Linked DNA regions of Styela clava. Each later gene encodes a partner of the first gene's protein in a complex. Links are inferred from orthologs where the notes say so. Each region holds a gene or a part of one and is shown in the gene's direction. Other genes may lie near its edges.

The links.
Region 2: frataxin, mitochondrial-like (region 1) and cysteine desulfurase-like share a complex: the UniProt entries of both Drosophila melanogaster proteins name them as parts of the mitochondrial core iron-sulfur cluster (ISC) assembly complex. The link is inferred for Styela clava from reciprocal best matches to the Drosophila melanogaster genes fh and Nfs1.
Region 3: frataxin, mitochondrial-like (region 1) and LYR motif-containing protein 4-like share a complex: the UniProt entries of both Drosophila melanogaster proteins name them as parts of the mitochondrial core iron-sulfur cluster (ISC) assembly complex. The link is inferred for Styela clava from reciprocal best matches to the Drosophila melanogaster genes fh and bcn92.

What each region holds. Positions count from the first base shown.
Region 1 is NC_135262.1:2,038,311-2,047,491, forward strand, and holds frataxin, mitochondrial-like, read left to right. Parts: upstream 1-6,769; coding exon 6,770-7,225; downstream 7,226-9,181. Other genes in the region: zinc transporter ZIP13-like, read right to left, coding at 1-888; uncharacterized protein LOC120332896, read left to right, coding at 8,523-8,699. UniProt on the Drosophila melanogaster protein: Promotes the biosynthesis of heme as well as the assembly and repair of iron-sulfur clusters by delivering Fe(2+) to proteins involved in these pathways.
Region 2 is NC_135251.1:29,313,538-29,325,209, forward strand, and holds the start of cysteine desulfurase-like, read left to right. Parts: upstream 1-6,610; 5' UTR 6,611-6,767; coding exon 6,768-6,769; intron 6,770-7,797; coding exon 7,798-7,972; intron 7,973-8,572; coding exon 8,573-8,725; intron 8,726-9,038; coding exon 9,039-9,121; intron 9,122-9,361; coding exon 9,362-9,470; intron 9,471-10,514; coding exon 10,515-10,682; intron 10,683-11,122; coding exon 11,123-11,281; intron 11,282-11,672. UniProt on the Drosophila melanogaster protein: Catalyzes the removal of elemental sulfur from cysteine to produce alanine. It supplies the inorganic sulfur for iron-sulfur (Fe-S) clusters.
Region 3 is NC_135255.1:1,694,825-1,705,990, reverse strand, and holds LYR motif-containing protein 4-like, read left to right. Parts: upstream 1-6,965; 5' UTR 6,966-7,127; coding exon 7,128-7,204; intron 7,205-7,850; coding exon 7,851-7,971; intron 7,972-8,447; coding exon 8,448-8,504; 3' UTR 8,505-8,785; downstream 8,786-11,166. Other genes in the region: uncharacterized protein LOC120331577, read right to left, coding at 8,787-8,809, 8,884-8,979, 9,153-9,230, 9,646-9,726, 10,163-10,193. UniProt on the Drosophila melanogaster protein: Stabilizing factor of the core iron-sulfur cluster (ISC) assembly complex that regulates the stability and cysteine desulfurase activity of Nfs1 and participates in the [2Fe-2S] clusters assembly on the scaffolding protein IscU.

The sequences.
Region 1 (9,181 bases):
CCCAAGTTCGTGAGGAATTTCATGCAATAAAATAGCGAGAGTTGTTAGAATACCAACCCATCGCCCGACACGATAACTCCCACCGATGGCTAAACCATGTGTAAAATTATCAATAATATTGGCCAACAAATTCAAATATCCAGCCATTTTAACATTAGATTTTGATTGCGCAATGTCAGAATGACCTTTGACATCTGAACGAACTTTGTGGACTCCATTTTGCACGATCAACTTATCTCCGCCACAGCAACAATCTTTTTCTTCTATATTCCATTCTTTAGTGTTGTTATTTCCGTTACAATTCTGATGAGATATATCTCCGTTAGATACGTTTGACGTTGGTTTCACTTCTTCTGTCGCTTCTGATTCCTTAGAAAACATTTTTTCTAAAGTCCAAAAGAAGATAAGTCCGACTAACACCCAAAATCCGTTGAACACAGCAGCAGTATGGAATCTTTTATGGTCAGATTCTGACATGAGCAATGCATTCCACGATTCTGGTAGCAAATGAAGGAAAACATCCCCGAGCAGACCTCCAACTGCAAAGCTAAGAAGGCGGTTAAGACATTTAGACCCATCACTCATTTTTGGAAGCATAATAAGCGGTAATATTCCACTTAGCCCGACCAAAAAGGCACTTATTATTGAATATATCAAAGATTCATATTTTAAGAACCACGTTTCATAAAATGTCTCCATTTGCACATTTGACTCCACTGAAGATAACACATAAGCACAGTTTTCTGATAATTCATGAACATTTCCGTTCTCTGATTTCACCCATTCTGTATTATCACAGGTAGGTTTCAGAGTGTTGGTTCTGTGTATACCAATAATACAATACGAACTCTGCACAAGCGCAAGCATTAAAACTGCCCACAGCATCATGACTTCAAATTCCTAAATTAACATAAATTATAATTCTGTAAATACAACAATAGTGATAAATGAAGTAATCATGAAATAATTAGTAAAGTTAATATTTAAATATCGGGTTATGTCACTGCAACATCACAATCACGATATAGAGCTTGCTAAGTATAGCAACGATCACCCTAAATCAGGCCTGCACAACTCAAATTACCACAAGCATGAATCTGAAGGCCCGGCGGGCCGCAAACTTTGCCCCATATATAATCATAAGATGAACTACGAATCAAAATAATATTGTGAAACAGTTAAATTTAATGGAACACTTTCATTAAAGAAAGCTTAGAAATTTGAAGAATCCTATTTTCTTGAATAAAAACAAGGTACAGTATTTTTGCATATGAGATGGCAAATATGTATTTAGTGGTTCATCTACCTTGAAAACCCACCCTTCATTTTCAATATTTCTTTTTTATTAGAATTAGGTATTGCGTGTTGCAGTATAAACTGACTGCAGAAAATTATTTTACTTCAGTTTTGTAAAACCGTCCCAAATATATGTATGACAATTTATTCAGTCATATCTACCATTATTGGATATTTCCATTGTAGGCTAGATAAATAATTCGTTTAGTAGCAATAGATCTTCCTCTTGTTGTACTTTTTTGACTGTTAAATTACATTTTTCTACAAAATCTGCTCCAATTTTTTTGAAATTTTACAGTAAATAGCAACATCTGTTACTTGTTTTTTAAGTTCTAGACCCGCGGATCGTATGTTGTGCAGGCCTGCCATAAATAATGTGTTTATGGGACACAAGGTGCACCAGATTATGAGGCACCCTGGCAGACTGGCCACAAATTGCTTAAATTGGAGTTTTTATCCATACATAATGCGCATGGAATATATGGCGCAACCTGCTGACCTGTACTGGTTTTGAATAAAATAATACTTGATCCGAATACCGTATTAGACGCGCCGGCTTACTGGCTTATTACAGTATTACAATGCACACAATAGATTCTGACAGAAAAAGTATTTGAGCGCTTCAAATACTTTTTTTGTTCGAAACTGTCCACAAAATATTGTAGAATACTCTTAGGTTTGTAGGTCATTTGTAAAATTCCAAACTTTCACTTTTTGTCATTTCTGAATTCTTTACTGCTTTAATAAAGTAATATCATCAATACAGGCTATTTCAGGCTAAGTAAAAAGATGTCTAACTTATACCCTACCTAACTAATGCTAGATTCATAGGTATAAAAAAATTAAGTAGGTTTTAGTGGCCTAAATTGAACAATTGAAACTGGTACTGCTGTACTGTAATTACAGAATAATCGGACCCGAGTTTCCTACAACAGGACAGACACCACGCTAAACACACGTTAACGATGACCGCACCGCAGAAAGAGAATCAACTAATGCATGTTTTAAAGATTAATTCAACTTCAAACAAATCTTAAAAACACGCTTACGTTGTATCTGAATAGAAAATAGGCCAAACCGCAGCGTGACAATCTGGTAAACAAAGCACAAAGCATTGCAATGTAAACAGCTGTTGAAGAGAAAAGTCCGGTTTCCTCGACTTGCATTCATGCGTGAATTTTTGGCAATATGGTCGGAAACGAAAGGCGCGTTGTTATGAATCTTGGATGACATCTCCCGGATTAGAGTTTTTAAAGTTATCAAAGCAAAGGAAGATTGTTAAAAGTCGGCTTAATCCAGCTTAATCGTATCGCTGTCACGTTCTATCGTGTGTTCATGGGGTAAGGGTATAAGTTTATTTCGATCTCCCCTAAAAAAATACACGAAACAAACAATAAACACATAAAACATAAGAATGAACACACAGAAAAATTGGGGAAATCGGGACAACAGGCAAAATCTTTAGTAAAGTTTAAAACACGCAGAAATGCATGTGCCTGTTCACCCATTTCACGCACACAAACATATTACAAAATAAAAACATGAACATATATCGTATAGGGTATTGGTATATGTGGAAATTGTTTATTGGTGATATTTATGCCCATAATGGCATAATCATATTAATAGCATCAATCAGGGTTGGATTAACCATCAAGAGCCCCCTGACAGGTCAAACATGCTACCCTATTGAAGGCACTAAATATGAAATGCAGTAAATCGCGCGCGCGATGTATCTCTCTTTTTTTTTCTTCAGTTTTTTTTATAAATAAAACAATATTGTAATAAATGTATCTCTCTATTCATTCTGAAACTACATCGAGGCCGCACGCCACCTTTCTTCGGATTTTGATGAAATATAAGCTAATCAGTGTAAAGTGGAATATGGTCAATCAATTTTCTATTCTACTAAAATAAATGCATATCAGTAATTTTTGGGATTCTATTGCAGATCTTGGGATTGTTTTAACAATGATCTTGAATAGAACCAGTCGACTGCTATAAAGCGGAATCAATGTTGCCATAACAGATCAAATTTGACGATTTACCAAGATCGAAAAAATCTCAATCAAAATTAAATATAATCGATAGTTCATCATGCTTGTTTGTTTCTGCAGGAGAGGGTGGCCCGTGGTTTGGCCCAGGACATGCCTTTCGATTGCGCTAAGCACTTATGATTTTGGTTCCTTAGATATAAAATATAATAATTATGAACTCGTGTTTTATGTTATCTGACACTAGAATAAGTAAGTTTCTGTGTTCATTAGTAATTTGGGGCCAAGTTACGATTAATTTACATGATTTATTTTGAACAGTTCTCATATTTACAAACATCGATAGAGATATTTTAGAATAGATGATACTTGATAGTTTTATTTCAACCGGGCCAATATTGAGGTCTGTGTCGACTGACAAACTCGATTGTACCAACTTGTATGTATATATGTTTATTCGTCTCGTAAAAACAAAATAAAAAAGTTAGTAATTATAAATACTGAAGACGGGATGTATGCACAGGACCATACTGGCCTGAATCACACGAATGTGCGCATTCAACCCTTTCGAGTTGTTTCATTAAACACAGAGGCATCATTGAAAAATCTTCTATGCAAATTTATGTGGTGCTCCCTTTCCCCTGGGGCTCTAAGCACGAGCTTATATATATTGCTTATAACAAGGTTTATGGCGTTTTTCATTTTATTTTCAGCTTGTATGATACCGTTTCAATCAGTAAAAGAGCATATAGCCGCACTAATTTCAACATTTTTTCGTGAGATGTTTTATAAATTTAGAAACAGCAAACCAGGGTTAAAGCGAGAGCTATACAAAGGATCAAATTGATGAACCGTTTTCCAGTCTTAGTATTTCTCTACTGGCAGTCAGAAATTTGGCTTGTGGATTCACTCCTCAAATTATCTCACGCATCTTGTCGCCGATGATTGCATAATTTCGCATTTCTTTGAAAAAAGAATGAACAAAATGAACAAAAATTAAAAACGGGATATCATATTATCTTCTTGAATATCCACACATTCAAGAATTGGAACAGCGCACACGATAGTCTCAGTTGAATGCCTTTCACTCAGGCATAAATACACCAGGCTTCGAATCAACGCGGTATGTTCAATGCAATTTTTTCGAAATAATTAGCATCGTCGAGGGCTGCCAAGCGTGACGCTGGTAATTAAGTGATGTTTTGATCACTGAACTGGAAATACATGCCGCAGCGCGAGACAATTTGATCGCCGCCATCTTGGCATTTATACTTCCAAAGTTTCTTCGTGTGGTATCTGGTTTTGGCCAGTTTTTCGTCTATTTCAGTACCCAGTGCGCCACATCGCAAGGGGGCCCCAAGCGGTTAGAATTTAGAAATTTAAGCCGCAAAGCCAAAAGCTGCATTGCAAAACCAGGAATGCACATCTAATTATAATGTTGATTTTAGTTTTGCTCAAATCGTATTGTTACGTAACAATGCCGGAGTCGTCGATTTTCGGCGTCGTGAGGTTTGATCGTACCAGCACAATTACGAAAGCTGTCAGAATGATGTCGAAAGCAAAACCTCTCAGTGGCGCACAGAAACGAAGAAAATTTTTAGGTTACCATAATCTTTATATAGCGACATGTTGTGCTTTTTGACGAAATAAAAAAACGTTGTTTAAGCTTATGTCCGAGAGTTTTCAGGGTCATTTCAACAAAATATTTTTGCGGGGTTGGCCCACGAGAGTCTTGCTACGCCACTGGCCGTAACTTTATTCCGACTTTCCTTATTCTAGTTCTATTACGAGTTCGCGGATTTGTGTGTGTGTTAGCCAAGTGAGTATATCCTGTGCCCATGGGTTTCTGTCCCTTTATACAACTTCGTGTAGAGTAGGCGAACAATATTAGTTACCTCCATATTGGTACACGCACTTACGGGGCGCTCTTTAGTTCTATTTATATGTACAGCTCGGGTACTACGGCAAGCAGCAGGGCTAGTCAAGAAAGAAAAAAACGAACCCAAAAAATTGTAAAAACTAGCGCAGTCACAAAAAACAAAAGATAAGAAAGGAGAAAAATGTGTAAAAAAAAAATAATAACTACCGACGACAACTGCTCAAGCAAGCCCAGATAAAAGAGTAAAAAAGTGAACCAAGCAGGGCCAGTCATTAAAAAAAACAGGTGCTCCCGAAGTATGCGAACCAAGATGGCGGACATCGGAACGTAACATGGGTAACAGGTTAGGGTTAGGCGATAATTTTTTTCCAATTTTCCTTATTTTAGTCCTATTATCAGTTCGAAGACTAGCCAAGAGCCTCCCGTAATATTTATACCTAAAATTATGGCCTAACCCTAACCTAGTACACATATTACATTCCGATGTCCGCCATCTTGGTTCGCATACTTCGGGAGCCTTAAAAAACAAGTAAAAAAAACTTACTGATACTTACACACACAGAATAAAACAAGAAAAAAAATGCATTTTAGGGTGGAAGGAGACGCGATAAACAAAAAATGTCCCCCCCCCCAAGCATCTATTTTCTTAGCAAAAAGTCAACGATGATATAACAATGGTAATTTTCATAATCGCTCAGATATGCCTTTCTTCGCTCTAACAAAATATTCAAGCATAGTTGTAAACAATCGGTGTGTGTTTTCAAAATCTAATAAATCAAAAAATAATTTAATTGTCACTATGTCCTCACAAGAAGAACTTTACTTTGGTTTTAATAATCAGAAATCACAATCGCTCAGATATGCCTTTCTTCGCTCTAACAAAATATTCAAGCATAGTTGTAAACAATCGGTTTGTGTTTTCAAAATCTAGTGAATTAAAAAATAATTTAATTGTCACTATGTCCTCACAAGAAGAACTTTACTTTGGTTTCATTAATAAGAAATTAGTTCCGACCGAAAAAGCTGCCGCCCATGCAGTTTTTTCCCGGTGCAATGGCATGCGTGTTTCAAGCGCTTGAATAGCGTAGATGGAAATAAATTTTAGTCTCATCTGGAACCAACACGCCACCATATAAAAATCATATATACTTTGCATTCTACATTGTCGAGTTTTCGGGGAAAACTGATAGGCAATTCTGTAACCCTTGACTGGTTACAGTCCGTGACCGGTCATCAGAAAACTCTTTAGTCGAAAGAAGGTAAATTGCGGCAGTTTTTTACCTGCAACATTCAAGATTTCCAGTTTTAACGCTTCAGTAAAGTATTATTGTGAATAAATTTTTTCGCAAATCGATAATCGACGTAACAAAAAAACGTGATCATTGTAAACAACAAAAAATACGTCATATTGACATCTCGTGACGCTCCAATGCGCACAGTTCCTCATTATGAGTCTACTTTAGGATTTTATGTAAATGTGGGGCATAGAAAAGTCAAAATGTTGGCTAGGTTTGCTGTTAGTGGAGTCAATAGAATAAATTTCGGTCAACGGTGTTTTTCATGTACGAGATTGAAGTCGCAAAACCAAAATATACGGCAAATGGAAACAGTTTTGGTAAAAGCAAATCAGACCAGTCAACATTCACAAATCGGACAATTTTTGTCTCAAAATTGTCGCTATTTCTCGCAAGAAAAACTGGTCTCTTTGAATGATTATGAAAGAATAAGCGAAGAAACTCTGGATCAACTTTCGGAATACTTTGAAAACGTTTTTGAAGACATTGAAAATGATGAATTGGACATTAATTATAGCAGTGGAGTTATGACTATGAACTTAGGCAAGAAAAAGGGGACTTATGTTATAAATAAGCAGTCACCTAATAGGCAAATATGGCTTTCATCACCGACTTCAGGGCCGAAACGTTATGATTTTATTAACGGACAATGGATTTATTCTCATGACGGGTCAAATTTATATGACCTTTTACAAAATGAACTGTCTGCTGCTCTCAATATTCCAATTGATTTATCTTGCATGAATTATCATGGTAAATGATACTAGTTTAAGTTATAAGACTATGTATATTTTGCAGTATGCTCTTTCTTTCATGTAAAATGATACAGGTACTCTTACAGTCAGCGAGTCAGGGAGGATACAGTTCTCCGATACCAAGATGTCTCAACATTTGGTTCAATAAAACGAACACTCTATTTGTCTTTGAAATGAGGGAGTATGACATGATAGCAGATGCGAGAGATTGCGCTCTTCTTGTTTTGATAATATTTTGAATCAATCAAGACATGTGTTGGCCATCACCAAAATTGCATTTTTTTGCTAAAATCTCTTGAATGCTGTTTTTTTTCCCTTTGGTAAATCTGATTATTTTCTTCCGAAAAATCCAATGTTGGCGTTTTCAGATGGCGCTTGCTTTTAGTTTATTACACAGTACCAGTTGGCGATGTTAAGTCGATATGGAGACCCAGACTGGCTCGTTAGGAAGGGGTTTGTTCTCACTGTTTTAATTGATGTCTTTTCATGTGGGGACTATTCTTGGAATCAGAGAACTGTGTCCTACTGTAGTCTATATGGTTATATCTGTAGTAACAGGAGACCTCAATACAGAAGTATTCTGTGCCAACCAGTACGATTGGACCATGTGGACGGTAGAAAATGAAATGTTGTGTTTTTCTATGATTAAGTCATATTTACTGACGTTTACTCTAATGCCCTTTCATTGTATAGACTTTTGTCACTTTCATGCAATGTTTTAACAGTTATGTTTTCTATTGCCTGTGTTTGACTTTTCACAATTTCTCCAAATACTTTCTTTAGTAACAAATATTTTAATATAAATCATCTATACTGCAAAGGCAAAAATTTTTTTTTTAGCTCGCTATTCTTTGCACTGTGGCACATTGTGCTAAGCGTTAGGAATACGCTCGCATCTGCACCTATGATTACCCTTTGTGTGTTCGAATCCTAAGGAGAATAATTATGTGCAAAGGATTGCTGGCATTTACAAATTAGATCTTTATCAATTGACAAAGATTCTTTCAACTCAATTTGTTGCATCTGACAAAGTATACCCCTCTTTAAAATGTTAAAGTATTATTCTGTATCAAACATAGCAATTTTTCGTAGCTTGAAACATTTTGTAAACCCTCAAGACGCTTGTAAACCCACCCAACCACTCTCCGGACCCGCTAGCTGTTACAGCCCAACTTAGAAATTTCAGAATGCCCCGCCCCTCATTGAAAATTCCTAGCGACGTCCCTGCTGTAGTCTAGAGACTTCAACGGTATTTTTCATTTGCTGTCAACTTATAAATCTTGTTTTACAGATTTGCCTAAAAATGTCATTTTTCACTAAGAAACTAAAACCTCATCCTCCCCAACAGCCAGTCCCTTATAATGAAAGTAGGAACAATGATTTGGAAGAAGATGGCTTCGTTCTTGTAGGAGAAACAGAAGATGAAAGAAATGCGATAACTCCTGACAGAAGAGACCAAGATTTGCCTCCAATGTATCAGGTAAATACTAGATCCTCTAATTCAGTGGTCCCCAAATTTTTTGTTCGAGCGGTACCGAATTATCAGGGTAAAAGCTCATGATGCACTTATAAGAATGAGAGCCAAAACAAGCTTTCCAATAATAGCTGAAACATAGCACGGCATTTTTGTGAGTGTGAGTGTCAAAAATCGCACAGGACCAGGGTTGTCCAAAACGAATCGAATATTCGAATGTATTCGAATATCAAGGTATTCGAATACCTTTTCGGCTGATTTTCGAATAATTCTGAATAGTAGCCACTTTTCGCCGTAAACGTGGTGTTTCGTTTTACGGGAATCTTTAAACGACTTTTTACGCTGTCTCACGTAATGACGATGAAATAAAATTGGCACTTTGATTGTTTATATTCTGTGCGACCGTACGTCGCATAGTGTTGCGACACATTTGCACGTTTGCGTGGGTGGACATTGCCGACATTCGTGTACGCGGCTTTTAATTTACA
Region 2 (11,672 bases), on another chromosome or scaffold:
CAAAATAAATGCTCTTACTGCGGCGAACCCGGCCATGGCGCCAGGGCAGTCCCAAAAATCAGGCAAGCTGAATGTCCGGCATATGACCACACTTGTGGACACTGCGGTCTCAAACACCATCTTGATCACATGTGCAGGAAGAAAAATAGTTCCAGAAGAACGGGAACTAGCAAACCACACAAAGATGCTGAATGCGAAGGAGCCGTTTTTGATGCGATGTGTTCAGTAAGCGCGAACGTTGGCACAATCCGATCTAATAATTTCAAACGATTGCCAAGCCAAAGCATATCACTGGATCACCATCTATACGACAATTCCTATGACATATGGACCAAGAGGCCTTCGAAACCTCAACCATTCATAGGCCTTGCCATAAGAGCTGTCAAAGAGGACTACGAAGCGCTCGGATTCTGCCTAAAGGCCAACAGCAGTGTCGCCAGAGTCACGGCAATGGCCGACACAGGATGTCAAAGTTGCCTTGCGAGCATCAAGATTATCCGCCGCATTGGACTGAAGGAAAAAGATCTCATACCAGTCACTATGAAGATGCATGCAGCGAACAACAAACGTATCAACATAATTGGCGCCGCGATCCTGCGAATATCTGGAAATGATGAAAAGGGCGATGCGGTTGAAACTAGGCATATAACATACGTTACTGACAGCATCGATGAAATGTTCATCAGCAGGGAAGCTTGCACCGCCTTGGGAATGATCTCTAACAACTTTCCCAAAATAGGCGACATAAAACAAAGCATCTATTGTGCGTCTGGCGCGGCTTCACTGGACAAATCCGTCGCAAATAGCAACAGGGAAGCAAAACACACAAGCGCCCAGATACAAAAGCAATGTGATTGTCCTCGCCGCCAACTACCTCCTACGTTGCCCACCAAACTCCCATTTCCAGCCACATCAAACAACCTCGCACAGTTTAAGAACTTTCTCATTGAACACTACCGAGCCAGCACGTTTAATACGTGTGAACACCAGCCTTTGCCCATGATGGAAGGGCCGCCAATGAAACTGATGATCAAATCAGACGCCGACCCAGTTGCTCATCACACCCCTGTACCGGTCCCATTGCACTGGCAGGACGAAGTGAAGGCTGGACTCGACCAGGATGTCAGACTTGGCGTGATAGAAACAGTTCCTATTGGCGATCCAGTCACTTGGTGTCACCGAATGGTAGTCTGTGCAAAAAAGAATGGGAGACCACGTGGCACAGTGGATCTGCAACCCTTGAACGCCTACGCCACCAGGGAGACCCACCACACGCAGTCACCATTCCATCAAGCACGCTCAGTCCCAAACGGCAAAAAGAAGACCGTGTTTGATGCGTGGAACGGGTATCACAGTGTACCTATACGAGAGGAAGACCGGCAACTGACTACCTTCATCACACCCTGGGGCCGATACCGCACTGCACCACAAGGCTACATTGATTCAGGGGACGGATACTCGCGTAGATTTGATGAAATTGTGGCTGACGTTCCCAATAAAACAAAATGCATTGACGACACCCTCCTTTGGTCCGACAGCATAGAAGAAAGCTTTCTTCAAGCCGCCAAATGGCTGGATATTTGTGGAAGACATGGCATCACACTTAATCCGGAAAAGTTCGTGTTTGCCGAAGATACCGTAGAATTCGCTGGGTTTGAAATAACAATGGACAGCGTAAGACCCTGCTCGAGATTTCTAAACGCCATCATTAACTTCCCAACTCCGCAGAACATCACCGATATCCGTTCATGGTTTGGACTCGTTCACCAAGTGTCTTACGCATTCAGCATGGCGAAACGCATGCTGCCATTCCGCGAACTGTTGAAACCCGGATCAAGATTCATTTGGGACAACGACCTGAACAGTATATTTGAGGAGTCAAAAACTACCATAGCAAAAGAGATCGAAGAAGGGGTAAAGATTTTCGACAAAACGAAGCCAACATGCCTCGCCACCGACTGGTCGAAGAACGGCATCGGGTATTGGCTTTTTCAGAAGCATTGCTCCTGTATAAACTCAAAGCCGTTTTGCTGTCCCAGTGGATGGAAAACAACTTCAGTCGGCAGTCGATTCACTCATAGTGCAGAATCACGCTACGCCCCAGTCGAGGGAGAAGCTCTTGCAGTAGTCGATGCCTTGGACAAAGCTAGATACTTCGTATTGGGCTGTGATGACCTTGTGATTGCCGTAGACCACAAACCGCTGTTAAAAAATTTCGGCGACAGGTCACTCGACAAAATATCAAATACACGTCTCCGTAATCTCAAGGAAAAGACCCTAAGATACAAGTTCCGCATGATCCACATTCCAGGCGTAAAACACCGAGCTGCTGACGGCTGTTCTCGACACCCCACAGGGCAACCTGAGATGATGCATCTTACAGACGACATTGCATTGATTGTGAACGAAACCTCTCAGCTTTCTACGATTTTTTCATCAACCTTAATGGAGAAAGTTCGCACTACCGTGAATCACAAGAGCACTTTTGAGACCTCAATCATGGAGGCAGCAGCTTCATCAATTGTTGCTCTGCAAACTGTCACAAGGGAAAAGGTAAAGTTGGCCACTGCCAGCGACGATCACATGAACAAATTAGTCGAAATAATTGAGTCGGGAATGCCAGATAAGCGAACTGAACTTCCAACACCGCTACGAGAGTATTACAGATTCAGGAACGACCTCTACACTGTGGACGGGGTGATAATTTACAAAGATCGAATCGTCATCCCCCCCACGTTACGCGGAGACGTTCTACGTGCCCTTCACGCCGGACACCAAGGAGTTTCATCAATGACCTCAAGGGCAGAAGCATCCGTGTTCTGGCCAGGAATTACAGCAGCGATCTTAACAACACGCAACAAATGCCGAGAATGCAATCGCATGGCTCCATCACAGCCATGCGCTCCGCCTACATCTCCATATACACCATCTTATCCGTTTCAATGCATTTGTGCCGATTTTTTTCACTACAAAGGTGTCAATTACTTAGTTATCGTTGATCGTTACTCCAATTGGCCAATAGTCGAAAGGACGTCTGGTGGTGCGACAGGACTTATCAGCAGCCTACGAAGAACATTCGTGACATTTGGTATTGCAGATGAACTGGCTTCTGACGGAGGACCTGAGATCACCTCCGCTGCAACACAGAAGTTTTTGAGAGAATGGGGCGTACATCATCGGTGGCATTCCCACACAGTAACTGCCGTGCAGAAGTCGGAGTAAAAACTGTTAAACGACTTATTTGCAACAACACTGGGCCTAACGGCGAACTGGACACAGACTCCTTTCAGCGGGCCATCCTGCAATACCGAAACGCACCGGACCCGGACACCAAAATGTCACCAGCAATGTGCGTGTTCGGGCGCGCAATCAAAGACTTCATCCCTATTCTTCCCGGAAGACATAAACCGCACAACACTTGGCGTGAAACTTTGGCAGCCAGAGAGGAAGCTCTTCGTAACCGGCATATGAGATCGGCAGAAAGATGGTCGGAACACACGAAAAGGCTCCCTCCACTAGTCATCGGAGATCGCGTAAGGATTCAAAATCAGATCGGCCCAGAACCGAAAAAATGGGACAAAACGGGACTGATAATTGAAGTTAGACCATTTGATCAATACGCCGTAAAAGTCGACGGATCCGGAAGAGTGACACTTCGCAACAGAAAATTTCTGCGTAAATACACACCCGTTATTGGACCTCAACCACGACGCGTCATCGACAACGACATCCTTTGTAAGCTCCCACCTGCTCAAAGACAATACACGAGAAAAGAGCCTTTGGGGAACGACGTCACACCATCGGGGGAACACGACGAACCGATCGAAGCCAACGATCACAAAACACAAGCTGAAGTCACAAATCCTAACAGCCCGCCGACAAAAGCAGGAGTGGAATATCCTTCATGGCCTACGGACGCTGACATAGATGTTGACACGTCACCTGAATGGATGCCCCGACGTTCGAATCGTGCTCGAAATGCTCCTAGATGGCAAAAAGACTATGTCATGACTTAAATCCCTCAGAAATATGATCATTTTACTGCATATACTCAGTCTTTCATACCCTGCTACTCCTAGGAAACGGCGCACAAAAGACTTGGGGGGAGATAGTGAATATTTATGTAGACTGTGCAGTGTGTGATTTAATGTTAACTCTTGTTCTTTATTTCATTTCAGTTATTATTGAGTTCCGTCATTGTTTACTAATAAAAGTGTAACAAATGGACTGTCAATCCTATCTAATTCTGTTTGTGGAAGGGTATGCTTTTGGCTTGTTGCTTCTCCAATGTAATTCTGTTTATTTTTAAGATTAATTTGATAAAAATCCTGTGCATTTCAATATATACTAGAACAAAACAAAATTTTGAAATTGTGTCAGGACTTAATAAATACCCTCTACATCACAATACTAGCAAAAAGCGCTGAAGAAAATAATATCAATGATTTCTACGATATCAATATTGTGTTTTAGTAAATTTCCAAACAACAATGCATTATATAAAAACAATTTGTGGAAGATCGAAAGCAGTTTAACAGGGTCAGATGTTCATGAAATATACAATTTATTCTTACACACACTATGTGTGCGGGTGTATGCACGCTTCCCAAATTATTTCCACTCTACTTTGCTTCAATATTGGCATATTTGGGTTAATTGCTACAAATTGAGTAAAACTAGCATACAACTAAAGAAAAAAAAATTTTATTTCATTTTCAGAACGCACTTTTTACGTGTATTTTTGTTTCTTCACATTATAACACTGTTTTACTTCATTTCACCCCTTTTTTCCTTAACAAAAAAATTCAGTAAAATTAATTTAAACAAGAAATTGAAATTAACTAAACAAAAAAGTACTTTTGAGCAGTGGCGAATCTACGTCAAATTGAGCCAATGGGAAACCCTCAAAAATGCACCGACTTTGCCGTTGACTGATAATTTTTACCGATTGTTGTTGAATTTAGATACTTGTACGCCATTATTTGAGTAAAAATCGAGTTTCAATTATTCCCTATTTGAAATAGTTTCATCGTAGCACCCTGTCCAAACGGCCCTCATGACTCGAGGTCGGAATCGAGTGAAGAAGGGGTGACTACATATGGGGGCCCATTCATATCCATGAAAAGTTATTTAAATGAATTTGTATTCTTTTTTCAAGATTTAGGAACAAAGATCTTAGAATAAGGAACGAATATACAGTGGTATGGTGTTTTATGTCACAAAGACCCGATCTAAAGATCGATAAGTAATAACTATCCTAAGTGATTCAAGAGTCTTGCTGCACACTAACACAAATTTATTTCTGTAGCGTTTCGTCTGACCTTGGTAAAGGATCGAAACCTCGCAGAACACCCGTAACAGATCGACCACCATGGACCTTTCCCCGACCTTTAACCCCCAAAAAATTCTTCCTATACTTTACTATTGCAAAATTTTCGCGGTTATTCTAAGAGTGCTTTTGCGAGTTGGCACCTGTAAAATGGGGTATGTGTTTTAAACCATCCCTATGATTCATCGCATACAACAATCTGTTTTTTAAAAGTATCGGTAAATTTTTTTAGCCTAGTCTATCACAGCTATTTCTACACTAATTTTTTATTACTGCAATTAAATTAACACTCATAGGAAGACAGAGTGATCATTGAATTATCTGATTCATATTTAAGTTTCCGAAACACAACTGAAGACTAACGAATAGATTTCAAAAACGCGAAAACGAGGTAATGTTTATACGACCACGCTTGAAAATCTGTCTGAGTGAGAAAAGTGTCTGAGCGGATGCGAAAGGGGAGCATTGTTACGTCACTTTTTGCTTCTTGCTGATTGGCCAATGTCACGAAGTAAACAAGGAAGTCGATGATCGGGGAAAGGTTCATTTAACTTTAAATTCAATCTAAAAAAAAAATTTTATCCATAAACTTCTTCCCGGTAGATTGGCTTTAATCATATTGATATTACGCAATACAAATCCAACAGTAAATACCGAAACACACAGCGCGTAGTATTCTCAGTCAAACAGCCTAACATGCTCAGAGTCAGCTGCCGCAGAGCTGCCTGTATCTTGTATCAGTGTCTGAGCAACATAATTTAATCTAAGACTTTATAAATCTTGAATGGTCCTTTAAAGCAGGGAATTGGGTGAAAGAAATTGAAAGTCAAATTCGCAAATGTAAATAGACCATGTTGACGAGAAAAAAATTCAGCACATGGGGCTATCCTGCTACGATATCCAGATATCTGTCTTTCAGTCTTTAGGTACCGGTACGGTACGGTACCTAATGCAAACAATGCTGCAATGAAAAAAATATGATGGCATAAGATACGGTACCGGTGTGGACCATTTGATCCCATATCAGATTCCCGACATTGACTGGTACCTTAACCGGATGAGAGGTCTTAGTTTGCCATATGATTAAGCCGTCTTATCGACTTTCTTCTCCCCGGGGATACATATGTAAATCCTATCCTAAGTGATTCTTTAGTTGAATCAACTCAACTAATTTAATTTAGGGAGAACAGTGGTCAAAAAGAGCATCTTCTGAGCTTTCTGTCTTTGTGTTGTGATACGTAGCAGATGTAAATATAGCACATCATAGTTTTGTGATTATTCTTTAATTATTAAGGGTTTACTTTTGCAGTTTTTAAGCTTCTAATACTAACTACTGAATAGTGAATAATGTTCAGGTAGACCAAATCGAATACTAAGCAATTTTTTTGGAATTTCAAACTTTAATATATTGGAATTGTGTGTAAAAAAGTCCAGTATCATGTAAGTATAGACTGATAGAGTTACAAAGAAGTATTAATTATAGTTCAGTAGTACTGAAATGGTCATATAGGCTATCCTGTATATAGGTATAGCTATTATTATGCATACCGTAACATTTGTCTGGAATTTTGCTGGTATTCTGATATTTGAGCATTGCTTTATCGTTTTTGCAGTGGTTATTTATTTGTATTCTACTTTGTATTAAATCATATTGATATTCCCAAGCAGTTACTCAATTCGATCTAGTGGAACATAAGTTTAGTAATGGGAACAAAGCATTGTTTAGTTAAAAGCTGACTTTTCAACAACAGTAATTTGAGATCATATTTATCTACCCTATCAACTTTATTTGCCGGTAATAATTGCAAAATCTAGTCTATAGATCATGGGTGGGCATGGTTCTTGAATCAGGGGCCAAAAATTTTGCCCACCTTGACTGTCGGGCCATGTAAGTATGAAGTAAAGAGTCAGACTACATTTTATGAACAATGTTTGCAGTGTTACAAAAGCAACAGTGGAAAACAATAAACCTCGTGCCGAAACTAAATTTAACCGCAATCTCAACAAATTCCTTGAGCTATTTGTAACTAAAACATCAAAATTTCAGTTTGGTTGTGGCAGCATCAGGCGGGTCAGATTGAATTACCCACCGGGCCGGATTTTGCCTATGTCTGCTATAGATGTTACAAGTGATTTGAAAAATATTGTGAAACTTCCCCTTGGCCATCATGACTCTAGCTTCAATCTTTTTTTTTCGAGTTTGTTAGGAATTTTCACTTATATTGTCGTCATTAAAAACAGATTTCAAAGTGAGTTTTTAAAACATGCCAAACTCAGACAAAAACAGCCTGTATCAAATCCCATCATATACGATTATGTGTTCAAATTTGGGTTTAAAAAATTAAATGCAATGAAAAAGAGGATATGTTGGGGTGAGAGGCAAAGAACTGAATAATGTAGGGCTAAATCACCCCTGCCTAAGTTTTTACTGACCACTCTTTTCCCTAACTTCGTTAATTTGTTCACAGGCACTCATTGTTGCGCAAATCCGTCAGTTTGACAAACAAGTACCCACTTTTTACTCGATATTCATCATCTTCCTCTCATATCACTCAAGAAAGGAAATCAATTGCTCAAGCTACAATTGAAAAAGGCCATGGAGAATGGCAACCTGGCTTTCGTCCTGTTTATTTGGATGTTCAGGTAACACAACTATAATGATTGCCATACCAGAAATATTATATTTACTTTAGCTTTTCATGTTTAGCCTACAGAGGAAAGGGAAGTCAATTTTAGTCAAAGGTAATTTATCCAGTGAATATGTAAATGTTGTATGTTAGCATGCAAATAGTTGCTACTTTTCTCATGGCTAGAACAGGCCATTCATTGTGTAGGAATTGTGACTTTAACTTTGATTTGTTGAAATATTACCTTTTTAAATGAGGTTGAACAGAATTGATTATTTGAAAAAATATATTTGAATTCTTGACACTAAAAATGTTGTGCTCAGTTGTGTAATGTTTGATGGTAAGATTGCTATATCTCAAAGATAAGTTTTGAATTTGCATGAATTTTGTAAATTTTATTTTCCAATTGTTTTTCCAATTTGATTAGCTATCGACTGGGAAAACAATATTATCCTAATATAATCCATGCTAAGCACATACAGAAAACATAAAATTCTGCAAGGAGAATATCCCGCGTCGTTCCTATTATCAGGATTTTTTTTATGGGATAGGATTTTGAATGTATAATTATTTCTTCTGAACTTACCTGCATATTATATATTTAACTTTTTACAAGGCCACCGCACCAATGGATCCAAGAGTGCTGGATTCAATGCTTCCATATTTTGTAAGTTACTATGGAAATCCACATAGTCGTACACATGCATATGGATGGCAGGCGGAAGATGCTGTTGAAGACGCTCGAAAACAAGTTGCAAGTTTGATAAATGTAACATTGTTTTAACATTCTTAAATTCCTGTTTTAATATTACACCAGGCAGTACCTGCATAGTTATGCTAAAATAAATTTTGGGAAAAGGTAGATGTGCAAATTAGCCAGGGTAATTCCAACGCAGATTTAAAATATTGACATGTCTGATGACGCGCAAGGGCAAGGTTTGTCAATATAATTCCATTTGTTCTTGAATGCTGGAAAATCTTCAAAGATACCATCTCAAGTGTTAACAAGTGTTTTTAGAAGATCAATTGAATTGAATAAACCAAAATTGGTTATAATTTCACTATGTTATATATTTACATAGGCTGATCCACGTGAAATTATATTTACAAGTGGAGCAACTGAATGCAATAATATTGCTGTAAAAGGAGTTGGGCGATTTTATAAGTAAGTAGACTTATTTAATGTGAAATTTCAGCCAGCTTTAAATAGATATTTTAATAATTTGTATTCGTTGTATAGCGATTCCACAAGTTGAAAATGCTTAACTTTATCAGCAAATTATAATTGAGTACTGTATTCAACTGTGTAGTCTATTATTATAACAAAAAAGCCTTCCCTTATATGCTAACTCAATTGAATACATTTCTTTTGTAACGCCATTTCTTCAATTATTTTTGTATTCAGGAGTAAAAAACGTCACATCATAACAACCCAAATTGAACATAAATGTGTGTTAGATTCATGTCGATCTATGGAAAGTGAAGGCATTGAAGTTACTTATTTACCTGTGCAGGTTTGTCTCTTCTAAGATATATATATTGGGAGTTCAATATGGCTCCATCTGACCATTTGTGCATTCATTATATTGCAAAGCACTAAGAATTATTAGAATATAGCTGGTAAGCTGGTTGTTTACTTTCTGAGAGCTTAGTAAATGAAATAATTTGCTATTTCAAATACACTTTGAATAGTAGCTCAGAATATGGAATATTCCAGAATTGGGTTTGTTTATCACAGAATTTGCAATACTTTAATGATCTTGCACATCTTCTAAGACTGTTAAATCAACTTTTGGGTGTTCGATTCAATTCATTGGCTCTATAAATTTGAGATGGGTGATTTCTTAAGTTTCCCCTTGCTAAAAAAATCTTTAATAGTTTTCGAAAAAAAAATTTCCTTTTATCCTTTCTGTCTTTATTGGGAATAATCACTTGCCAGAGAACTGTGTGTTAAAGTTGGATAAGTTACTCAGTTTTCCACGATTTTTTTTGCTGTTAACCTTGCAGCTGATTCACTAACTAGCGCATAAGATGCTCTCATAGTCTGTATGATTAACAACAAAAGACGTGTCTGCAATAACTTTATTAAGGCCATGTGAAAGACGCTAAATTGTTTTCATTTCAATATTACTTAGTAGTGAGTGAAATGCCTCTACCTTGCTGTCATTTCCTTAGAATCAATTTTTGAAAACTTGGCAAAAAAGGGATATGTAATAATTCCCGCTAATGGTCAATCAATAATGTTGAAGTATTTCGTTAAATAATGCATTTGAAGTTTTGTTTGTGAAGTTTTTTAAAAAATGTTAGGAACTATAAGCTAGTAATTTTTTTAGGTATGTGCACACATATTCGGTATTAACAGCTGAATAGCCTTGCTATGTAAGATTGTACATTCACAAGTTGATTTTTATAGTTGTACATACATCATTGTCCATATAAATTTAATAATAGGCAATGTTGATGAAGTTAAATCAAGCTTCAACATTTTGTTTAGCCGTTTTTAAAGTTGAACCAATGTTATATATGATATTCTGGTTAAACTTGTTAAATAAATACAGGAAAATGGGATTATTGATTTAAATGTCTTGGAGAGTTCGTTTCGTCCCGATACATCTCTAGTCTCGGTTATTATGGTAAATAATGAAATTGGTGTACGGCAACCAGTTGAAGAGATAGGAAATATGTGTCGAGAAAGAAAAGTGTTTTTCCACACAGATGCTGCACAGGTTTTTTTCGTATTTAAATAAGTAATCATATTCTTCTTCAATGTTGATAAGTTTAATTTATTGTTCAGTTTTGGAATATGACCTGTAAAATTCAGTGATTCAAATGTCGAAACTCTGGATATGATTTACATTACATATTTTCCTTATTAAAGGAAAAACACTGGTTTCAATGAGTTCTAGTAATCATGGACAGAAATCACTTATCACAGGATTCAAGCCAGCTGACAAGGTCATAAATATTGACAAAGTGGAGATAATCTGATAATTTCTTACTGTTTAATAAGACCTAAGCTAATTATTATTGATAGTCCACTTTTTGCTATAGAATTGTTACACTGTTGAAATATGTCCCTCAGCAAATATTATTATAATTCATTAATCTTATGATTTTTTGTAGAAAAGTAGTTAAAAATCGAGCTTTATTATAGTTTTATTTTTAGGCCGTCGGTAAAATTCCCATTGATGTGAATGAAATGAAAATAGATTTAATGTCAATAAGTGGACATAAAATTTATGGGCCGAAAGGTGTTGGCGGATTGTTTTTACGGCGTAGACCTCGTGTCCGAGTGGAACCTCTTCAAAGTGGTGGTGGCCAAGAGGTGTGTATACATTTAACAATAACGTATTGTTATTTCGAGGATCATTTTTGGCCAATTGGTAATGTTAAGGGTAGCAATACTTGGGAGCCAATGGTTATATCTGAACCATGGGGTCTGGGTTATTTTAAATTTCGACCCCCAACTCAAGGAGTGAGTTTGAAAATACGACTCTAATATCAATATTGAAACATGCCAAACTCCCAACACATGTCAACATTTTATAGTTTATTAAACATCAAGTTCTTATGGATGAAACAACAAACTTTTAATTTTCATAAAATAGGACTTTGAATTGAATTTTTGGCATTTTAGCAACTCAACAGCTAAATATGACAGACAGTTCACAGCTTTATGCAAGTCCCATAACACTTTAAAGCAGTAACATCAAAAT
Region 3 (11,166 bases), on another chromosome or scaffold:
GTTACTTGACAACATTGATTCTGGTTGAATAAATTCTATGCTGACATGTTATATTCTACGAAATCCTCCATTGAACAGTGGAAAACCACAAACTCTATGGAGAAGACATTTAATTTAATTGCAAAGGCGGAAAAGTTACATCGTATTCCTTGGCGCTTGACGAAAGCACGAATATCAAGGTTGTTGCTCAGTTAAATAAATAAATAATACCTCTTTGGGTATCACACCTAATACAACTTCAAAATCTACAATACAAATATACAACGATATAAACATCTTCAACACCTGTATAAAAACAATATCACAGTATCACAAAAATAACTACAATTAAGACTAGACAAATTATGACTAGTGGAAGGGACATTAGACAATTACCCAAATAGTATTGTTAAACCATTTAATACACAAATGTCGAAAACTAGACTATCTAATTCTCTCCAATATCATATTTGACAATTCCCAGTATTGTCCAAGTGTCCTTGGATTGGACACCTGGGAATCTCTGTATTTATCCAAATTGTGTTTGAAAATATTCACAGATGCACTTGACCTCACATTCAATGGTAAGCTGTTCCAGTATTTTACGACCCTGTTCCCAAAAAAAGTTCAACTTTGAACGCTGATTTTGCCTTATGACAAGGTTACCGGTTCTAGGAGACTTGTTGAAAAATTGTTGCCCATATGTACAAAAACCATTTAGTATTTTGAAGGCTTCTATTAAGTCACCTCTCATTCTTCTTTCTAACAATGTTGTCAGTCCCAAAACCTTCAAACGGTTCTCATAACTCTGTCCTCTACAGCAGCTTATTTGTGCTGTAAACTTCCTCTGAACTGCCTCTAGATTTATTATATCGCCCCAGTTCCCATGCTTTGGTAATGGCGCCCATAATCGTGTACAGTATTCAAGGTTTGGTCTCACTAAAGTCTTGTACACACGCAACATCACATCCTTATCCCTACTTATTATACTGCGTAATAACCATGCTATTTGTCCTTTTGCATGTGCAACAATTGTATTCATGTGAGTGGAAAACTTCAAATTCGTATTGATAGTAACTCCTAGGTCACATTCACTGTTCTCTCCGGTTAGGACTCCATCCAAAAAGGGATAGTCATTCCCAGGGTTCGATTTCCCTAAATGCAGAATCTTACACTTCTGCAGATTGAAAGAAAGTTTCCAATCTTCCTGCCAAGATTCCAATGCTTTTAAATCTTGCAAGATATCATGACTAGGGTTTGTAATTAGTTTCAGATCATCAGCAAAAAGTTCTGCATGTGACACAAGCTCTCCTGGTAAATCATTCACATAAATCAGGAACAGCAGGAGTCCTAAAACCGACCCCTGTGGAACACCTGATGTTACTGCTTTTGACTCCGGAAAGAAATTGCCCACCTTTACTTTCATTGTTCTACCTGTGAGAAAATCTCGGACTATCTCTATTGTATCATTGTCCAGGGCATAACTTTCCATTTTAACAAGAAGTCTATAGTGTGAGACCTGATCAAATGCTTTTTTTAAATCGAAATAGAAAACATCGTTACAGTTTGTCTCATCGAGAATCTCCAGTATACTGTCCATGCTCTCAAGTAGATTTGAAAGGCAGGATTTTCTACTCACAAATCCATGTTGGAACTGGGTTACTTTGCTATGAACTTCCTTTATAATGTATTCTCTCAGTATATTTTCATATACTTTACACAGCACACAAGTAAGTGATACCGGTCGATAGTTTCCAGCTACCTGTTTTGAGCCCTTTTTATGCAGTGGGATGACAATCGCATTCTTCCAAATTTGGGGGAATTGTCTTACCTTTATACATTGATTAAATAGAACAGTGACAGCTTCAATGCAACCAACATTTTTTTCAAGGAGTTTCCACAATTTGGGAGAGATATTGTCAGGTCCAAAAGCTTTATTTGCATTTAAAGAGTTCAGCAATTTTGAGACTGTATTGAAACTAGCATATAAGTGACTGTTTATGTCTGAGTTGACATTTGCAGTAAAGATTTTGTCTAAGTTTTAATAATTTGCTCCTTTAAGAGGTCCATACCTTTCTAAGTTAAAGACAGATTCAAAGAATTTTGCCAGAATATCCGCAGTTTTAGCCGCAGATGTTGACAGCATGCCTTTACTATCCCTCACTGCACAGACAGGAGTTTATAATTTAGACTTTGACCTGATATAGCCATAGAAGGGCTTGCAATTCGTTTTCATGTTTTTTGTTATCCTTTTTTCATGCTCAAGCTTCGCTTGGTAGACCGCAGATGCCATTTCCTCCTGTTTCTTCAGCATGACATGATAATTTGTTCTGGTAGGATGTTTATGAAACATTTTGAAAGCTTTACATTTTTCCTTCCTCTTTCTTTCAAGCTTTGATGAGTCCCAAGGTGTTTTGACTAATTCATTTCCATGTCTGTCTAATGTAACTCTTTTCAAAGGAATTTTGTTTATGATTTTCTCTTACAACTCCCCCCACATTTCTTCTAAGGAACTGTAACTCCAATCAATGTTCTGTGAGTATTCGTCCACCAACAATAGAGACAACTTAGATGAATCCTGTTTGGTAGTGCATAAATAAGACTTTGTCACCCCCATATTCAAAGTTATGACCAGAGATAGATGGTCGCTTTTGCCCAGTGCTGCAGTTTTGTTCACTTCCAGCACCAACGCAGAATTTGTACTAAATACCTGGTCAAGTTGCGATTCTTGCATGCAATTTCCAACTAACCTCCTCCGAGTAACCTCATTTTTGATGAACCATGAATACCCCAGTTGTATCAAGTTTTCCATAAATACATTCTGAGCAACAATTTTCTGATTACCTGTTTCAAACACAGAGCTACCAACGTTCTAGTCAATATCAGGCAGATTTACATCACCCACAATAAGGATATCCTCGTCTGCTGATGCTTGAGTCAGTCTGACCAGCTCATATAGGATGTTTTCATTACCTTCATCATCTAGTGAAGGTGCACGATACAAACAAACCAATACAAATTTGACAGACCTCAGAGATACGTAAACAGTTACACTTTCAAGTGATTTGAAGAACTGTGCTCTCTCAGCATTAAGTCCCGAGTGGACGTAGATCAGAGATCCACCTCCTTTCCCACTGAGAGTTTCCCTGTCTTCACGGAATAAATTATAGCCATTGATGTGCAGCTCTGAATCAAGGAAATACTGATTTAGATGAGTTTCAGTTATGCATATTATGTCATATTTACACGCACTTATCAGAACCTTTAGTTCATTTAATTTGTTAGAAATTGAGTTTGCATTTGTGTAGTAAATTTTCATAGTCTTGATCTGTTCCAAGCTAGTTTTCATACATTCATCTCCACTAGACTTTTTTTTGCAATTTTCTCAGATTTTTTCTTCCTGTCTCTCTTTCCTTTCTTTGTTGGTATTGGACCTCACGCTCAGTTCTTGTTAGATCTTGGTTAATCCAAATGTCATCCTCTAGTTTCCTTCCCTTGCCAAACTTGTGGATATCAGATGCTTCCTCCTCATTTCTGAGAGTAACTAGTATGAGCCGTTTGTTTCTGTTTGCACTCTCTCCAGTCTCTTTCTTACCTATATGGTAGCAGCTCAAGATGATGGAGGACTGGAATCCAGAAATTTTACTCTTAATTTGTGAGTATACAATTTGCTTTATGTCCTCATTCCCAGTTTCCGCCAATCCAGAAATCACAATGTTGCGGCTTCTTTTTCTCTGTTCCATTATATTCGAGTCAATTCTTTTCATACTTTCTTGCAATGCAAGATCTGAAGTTTCTTTTACAGTCTGTTTAATAAGATTGACTTGGCTTCCCGAGTTTTGCTCCTTAAAGCAATCGGCAAAACTTTTGGTGGTTGCCGATGACCCCTCTCCTACAACAGTCTTAATGATGTCAGGAGGACTTTTTTTATTTCATCTTGCACTGCATCGCTTATATTTTTGCTCGATTTTGCAGGTGTCAACAATCCTAATGGTTCTACAACCCAACTTGGGCATCTATATTTTATTGATACAATCTTTTGTGATACCTTGTAAACCAGCACACTCCACATGCCACCACGATGTATTGCACTTCTTTGTACCACACTGTATCCACAGTGCACCATTCTTTTGCTTCTTACAAACACAAGATGATTCAGGCATACTTGAGATTAATTTAATTAATTAATTTAATCTTAATACAACCAAATACTCCAATTGGATTTCTTTCTGCGGGCAGTTGATAATAATTTTGAAATTACCGCAGAGATCGCAGCCATTGTTCTTATTAATGGCACGACTAGAGGCTTTGGTCTGTTGGGATCTGAGAAGAAAAAGATCAAGCGTCTTGGCTTGTTTTTGGCGAAACTTTCGAAAATAAGTACTGATGGCGCCCCATCAATGGTTGGGAAACAACAGTTTCATCGGTACAAAAATTGTGAAAGTTTGGTCTGCGGGTATTGTTTGTATTTTCCTTAACCTGTAGTCAGTGTAGCAAAACTAGAACATAATGCCATGTTAATAATGCCTTAAAAGCAATCATTGCCTTATTGAAATTAATTTTGATACAAGCGCCAAACAAGAGCCGATAACACGAACCATATGGCGAACCACGGCCTCCGATCCATGTCGAGTATGGGATCAGTTAGTTATTTGGTCGAAAATGGTCCAGCCCAGTAATTAGCAACCGGAATTCCTCGTTATGAACATTTGCTGTGATTGGCATATTTTATGATATAAAATTATACAAATTAAGAATCAAAGATCACACTGAACTGTAGAATAGTCTACTAAGTACTAGGTGCAAAGATGGGGTCTCGTGTAGTTTTGTACCTAACATACTTCTAGTGGGCGTAGCATAACAATTTGTTCACATGTTAATCCCAACCCCCACCTGACTACGCTATCCAAAAATTATGCCACAACGACATCACAATAACGTCATAGAGCTTCCCCATTGATATACACCTCAATGAGCCCTCAATATCCGTACGATCGCCCGGAATGGCACCTGCGCCAACAATAAGGACTTGACGAACGTCAGCGATCTCTCTCATATCGCGATCGTCGCGACGAGAAAACGAGAGAAATATCTGCTCGATTTCGGTTGCTCGTCTGCGCGTTTTGGATGATAGATGGCAGTGCCAGTGCGTAGAGCAGGGGTCGGCAACCCTTTGTCGCTCGCGGGCCAAAATTAACCCTTTCCATGCAATTTTTATTTTTTATTAAATAATCGTATTTGCTACGCCGACTTTATGCATTTGTACCCTCACAACTAATCGATCGACTAACGAAAAAGTAATGATCCTCTGCTGCCCACTGACGGCTCGTTGGAAAGCTTATTTAAAGAGCTTGCAATAGGCGATTAAAAAATTTTTTTTTTTCAAAAGGGGTGGTCTGAGTCACAAACCGGATAGAAAAAAGGCATTTTTTTTTGGGTGTTGAAACTTCAAACCGTAATAAAAAATAGAAATATTCGCTAAATCCTTTACTGTTACCGCTTCTTGGTTGGCAAACAATAGCATAATATTGCTGTAGCAAAAAACACCGAAATTTGCATAAATTTCAAAAACACTCCCTCATTCCACCGCAAATAAAATTTCCATGGTAAACGAAAGCGAGATTTACCGTCGCTTATGTTAATCTCGAAGAAGACTTCTTATCAATAAACTAAAACCCGGAAAAACTAGACCAACAGTTTGCGACCGATTGCTAAATAAAACAGTGGAGTACATCAACGTACCCGCCGCAATCTAGCGAGTTTTGTCGTGGGTACGTATACGTGCCCATCGCACGGAAAGGGTTAAGATTGCAAGTCATTGGCGGGCCGCACATATTTTTAGAAAGTTGAAAAATCGAACGGATGGTACTTTTTATAATAAAAATCAAGCAGTGATACATCTCTAGAATAGAATATAGATTTATTTCCTCATTGCATCTCATAAAATTCTATTTGAATATTTTCAGCGCCATTAAACCCCTTTGCACTTAGCATAAACTTTTCTGCGTTTTGTTGCCATTTGCTTAATTATAATTAAATTATATGCTCAATAAACGAGTAATTGTAAATTATATAATTGTTAGGTTATAATATAATTTAGTCTTAAAGAATATATTCTTCAAAACGGATGTTTTGTTACTATAATTTAGTGAAGCGTCGCGGGCCGGATCAGGCACGCAGGTTGCCGACCCCCGGAGAGTCTGAAGTGCTCTATTAGGTCGCTGTGGCGTGATTTTTGATGACGCAGAATTGACATATGCAGTATATGTTACGGTATGCTACGCCAACTAGAAGTACCTACTTTAGGTACGAAACGGGTCTACACTAGACTAGTTGTATTGTAATGTACCTTTATAGACCCGAGAGGGTAACAAGTGCTATAACATTACAGCAGTATAACCAGCGGCTTGCGCTCATTCACATGCACTCACACACTTTAAACTGTCATAGCTAGTCACAGCGAGTCTTCAGACAATTATTTTTGGCATGCAGACCTTTCGCTTAGCAGTCGAGTTTTTGTACTGTTTGTAGGTGTAGCCCTGTATTTGAACTTGTTATGTCTTTTTTTAATTTAAGCTGATGAGATATCAGTCTGGGTTCGTCTGTTGCTATTTAATTTCTATGCACAAACTTATAGCGTTGATAGGAACTGAGATAATTCTTAGTAATTTGGATTGAATGTTTCTGAAATTTTCATTTGGTGTTACTTAAAAAAATTATGAAATAATAAGTGTTCCACCACTTCATCGACTTCGTGCACTCAAATTATGGCAATTTGACTATGGCTGGTTACTAACTATATTCAATTTTGAAATCCCAATAAAAATATGAATATGGTGGGCAACTAGTAATATTTTTTTGTCAAGTTTTCTTTTTTGTTTGCTGAAAAATAACTATGTTTTAGATGAGTAAACATGTAGATGTAGGCAACCACTCATTTCTGCAACACCTTATAATCTACATTGTTTGTACATTCTCTTGATTTAATCAGTTTTATTTATTTGTTTTTTTCAATTATTATATGCCCTTTCGCTGATGATGGAGTAACTAACAGTTGAGTTACATATAGAGCAACCAGTACATACCAAGAGAAAATTTGTATAGTAGTTTAATGTTCAGATTTTCGTCACACCGGCATACTGTTTATTATGGCTAAAGGAAGAGCATTGCAACTTTATAAAGCATTGCTAAAAGAAAGCTCGAAGTTTTCGGACTATAATTTCAGGTTTGAATAAAAAACAATAGGCTTAATTTATAACATTTCCTATTTGACACTGACTGACTGAAGTTCAAGAGATATCATGCCATGCTAAAATGAAAGCGCTTTGGTTTTTGACATTATAAAATTGTATGAAATTTGACAAAACACAAGATCAACTTAGGTCATAATGAGTTTGAAAAATAGTAAGCTGTTGAATAGAGAAACGCCTCTGCCATCTGGGCAGAAACATATGATTGCTGTATTACAATGTCTGACCATGTGAACCACATTAGAATCCACTTGCCATTGCACCACACAAGTGGATTTGCAAGTTTGATTAGTACAACAATGTGCCAGCCGAAAGCCTTTGCTTAGCCCTGAGTGTATGGCTGATTCGCGTAACACACCACTTCTGTCTTAATGACAATATGCTGTTCTCTCGCAGACAACAGGCATCAGAGCTATTGTGCGATTATAAAGCAAGCAGTGCTTCTTAATCATTATTTTCTAGCATTTAAATCTTGAATTTTTTCTGAAGAGTTGAGTCAAAGCCCTTCTTATGTAAATTCCTGAAAAAAACTTATGAACTACTACATTATGAATGGCACAGAAGTGTGTCTGCTTTCATCTATCACACCAGTTTGCTATATATGTATTTTTTTATATCAAGGCATTACGCTATTACACGAACTAAGGATGCTTTCCGGGCAAACAAATCAGAGCCAGATCCTGTCAAAATCCAAGACTTTTTACACATAGCACAAAAGAATTTGGAAATGATTAAAAGACAAGTAAATCTCATTTATATTATTGCTCTGTGAGGCAGTGGTTGGCAAACTTTAGGTACTTACTACTGGGCCAAATATGCATATTGACGCTAGCATGCGGTCCACATTAATCTTTGCTGATAAACAATTGTCATTTATATTTCAAATTAAGATGCACCCACAGCATTCAAATTCCAAAATACGACCAACATGTGCCTCTTGCCCACACAAATTACTACCAGAACAAACACTGTGAAAAAGCCATTATTACATACATCTGTGCGCTGATAATAAACTTGTTGTTAAGAGGGCCACAGTTATGCCAACGCTGCTGTTTGGCAAGAGATCAATCAATCCAATGATGCCTTCAATTTGTGGTATATTGAAGAATATTAGATTTAAATACAGCTCAAGGTGCGAGATGATCATGTCTCCAGTTTAAACACCACGAAACATGTGATTACTATTTGACTCTAATTATAATGTGTTCTGTTTAACAGGTAACAATTGGTGAAATGTTCAGAGCAGAGAGACTTATTATTGATAACGATTCATAACTACAAGCAATGATATTTCCCACTCGAATATCAGAGCATTTTTACCTCCGTATAGTTTCTCCGATCCTCATACATTGTTGTGTTCACGAATATCAAGTCAATGAGCCCAGTAAATTATACATATTGCTGATTAATATTGTTGGGGGGGTGATTATAGTCTCTATCTGTGTAGCACGGGCATCCCACTTTTACTGTGATAATAATGCTACAGACTTATCAATCTTCATTTTATGTTTATTGAATTTTCAAACTTGAAATAATAAATAAAAGATGTAATATCATTCATTCCTCTGCTCTTTTCGGATCTGGAAAAAAGGCAATGCATTTGTGATTGAATACGCCATCAATTGCACTGTTTATTAGAAAATGCAATACTTACATGGATAGACATAGGATGTGCGGTAATTCTCAAAAATATACTGATTTCTTTCCTGTCTGTGCTTTGAGAATGGAAGGTATATGAACGCTAAAGGAACTGTCAAAATGATAGAACATGATTGATCAATTTGTAGTAAGCAACAAAATATATAAATGGATTCATGAGCAAATATTTTAGGAGTTAACTGATGCAATAACACAAATGCCTTCATTATGAGAAAACACTTCATAGAAAGAATCTAGCAATTGCATGCAATTAAGCGGACATACCAACGATAAAGAATCCTACAATTCCAACCACTCTCTCCCCATGTTCATATAAACTTTGGCGAATGAATTTTCCAATTTCTGGGAAAAAAATATGTTCGATAAGTTTCCGGGTAGAAATGAGTTAAGAACTAGGCACTTGTACATTTCAAAAACAGGTAAACAATGTTTTCCATTCGTTTAAATCCATTTAGAGTTAGGTTGAACACGAAACCAAACTAGCTCGATGTATAACAAATCAAAGGGGACTTGACATGATGCAGATTAGATCAGTTTTACGAGTAGATAACTAATTGACAAATAATTTCAGCATTTTGTAAAAATCAATTTATATGAGAATAACATATTTATCCCGGAGAGATGTACTTGTTAAAAAATCAAGATTACCCAAACAGGCTAGAATGGCACCTGTTACAAATGCACTGACCCACATCAAGAACCAATACCTGGTCATTGTGCAAGCATAAAACTTTTAATTGATACTAAAAAATCTCACCATGGGGTTTCGCAGGACCACCTTTAAATTTTGGTCTCACATAATCGGCACTGTGTCTTATGCCAGATTTCCGGATTAAACCTAAAATAGTATGGTTGATAACATGAGTAATATCCTGTAGCTGAGATGTCACTTAAGTTTGGAAGATGCCTCAAACAAGGAAATAATTGATCATATCAAAAAAGTATTTGCAAAAATGGTAAAACAAATTTTGTTAATTAGTAATACAAGCTTGCCCAGTAGTTTATAATAGCTAACTCATCGAAATTAAATATATAAATTTAGAACAAGGTTACACAGTTAAACACAACTGTGACTGTGTGAGGGGTGCTAGTAATTAGGTACCGGTACTGAAACAAGAGACAAACAGAAATCAAAGAAATTTGAAAGAGCAATGACAGTACTGCAGTATGACGGATGTAGTAAAAAAAACTCTTCAGTTTTCTCTTGTTACAGTGTCAGGTCAGTAGGGCAATGCAGTAATTAAATGCTAGTTAGACCATGACTCAATACATACCCCAAAGGTTTCTCCCACTGCTCAACGACATAACGCAGCAGAGACCTAAAATTTCACCTCAAAAACAAATTCAGAGCATTCAATAGGTTGACACTCGACAACCGGTCGTTGGTTACAAGCAACTATGCAGCCAGACTTCTGTATTTGAGCCTGAGCGGTCCGCAGAAAAACGATTCTACAGCCGGAATTTACGGTGTTCCCAGCGATGAAAAATCCGGAGTCCGTGTTAAAGCAATGACATCAAACAACATGATAGGCAACTCTGACGTCACTCCATAAGACTACAGGCAAAACATTGTATTTCATGATACGCTCCAATGCACATATTTCTCGTCGCCTTCCCCGTCCGTTTTCCGCTCGCTTTTGCTACTCGGCGTCTTTTTTACGTGTAGTACCTGCCTTTTTGCGCCTGTAACGAAACAAAATAATCTCTATATCTAAGAAGTTTTGCTTACTTGGAAAGCTGGAATAACAGACAAGCTGTAAAGAGCAATTCTGGACATCATAGACGTTTTTTTTTTATCAGAGAAGATTACAAACGCGATAGCGGAAAGATTTGTGTGGAACATTTTGCAGATAATGACAAAGTTCAAAGTTAGTAATTTTAATGTTTGCGCTTAATCATTGAAATTTCATTTAAAGAGGGTGTCATACAAAACTGTGCTGCGATACAATTCCATAACACAAAGTTTGCATCTATCGAACTTGCTTTTGTAGGTGAATTTATTAGACATATTACATATTCAGTTAATCGTAGGTAACATTGCTGGTACATAATGCATCGTAGATAGGTTTGTTTAAATTTAGGAATTTAGCTCATAGCCCACTAATTAATATTATCTTCTATGCAGGAGGTTGCAGGGCTGAATTCAACTTGCAGCCTTACCGATCACCTGACGATGCTCATTTAGTTTGGCTCGAGCAAGTCTTCTTGAAATGCTTGTGTGGATGGAAACCACCTATATTTTTTGCCTTCCTCCGATTTTAGACAAATTTATTCTGAG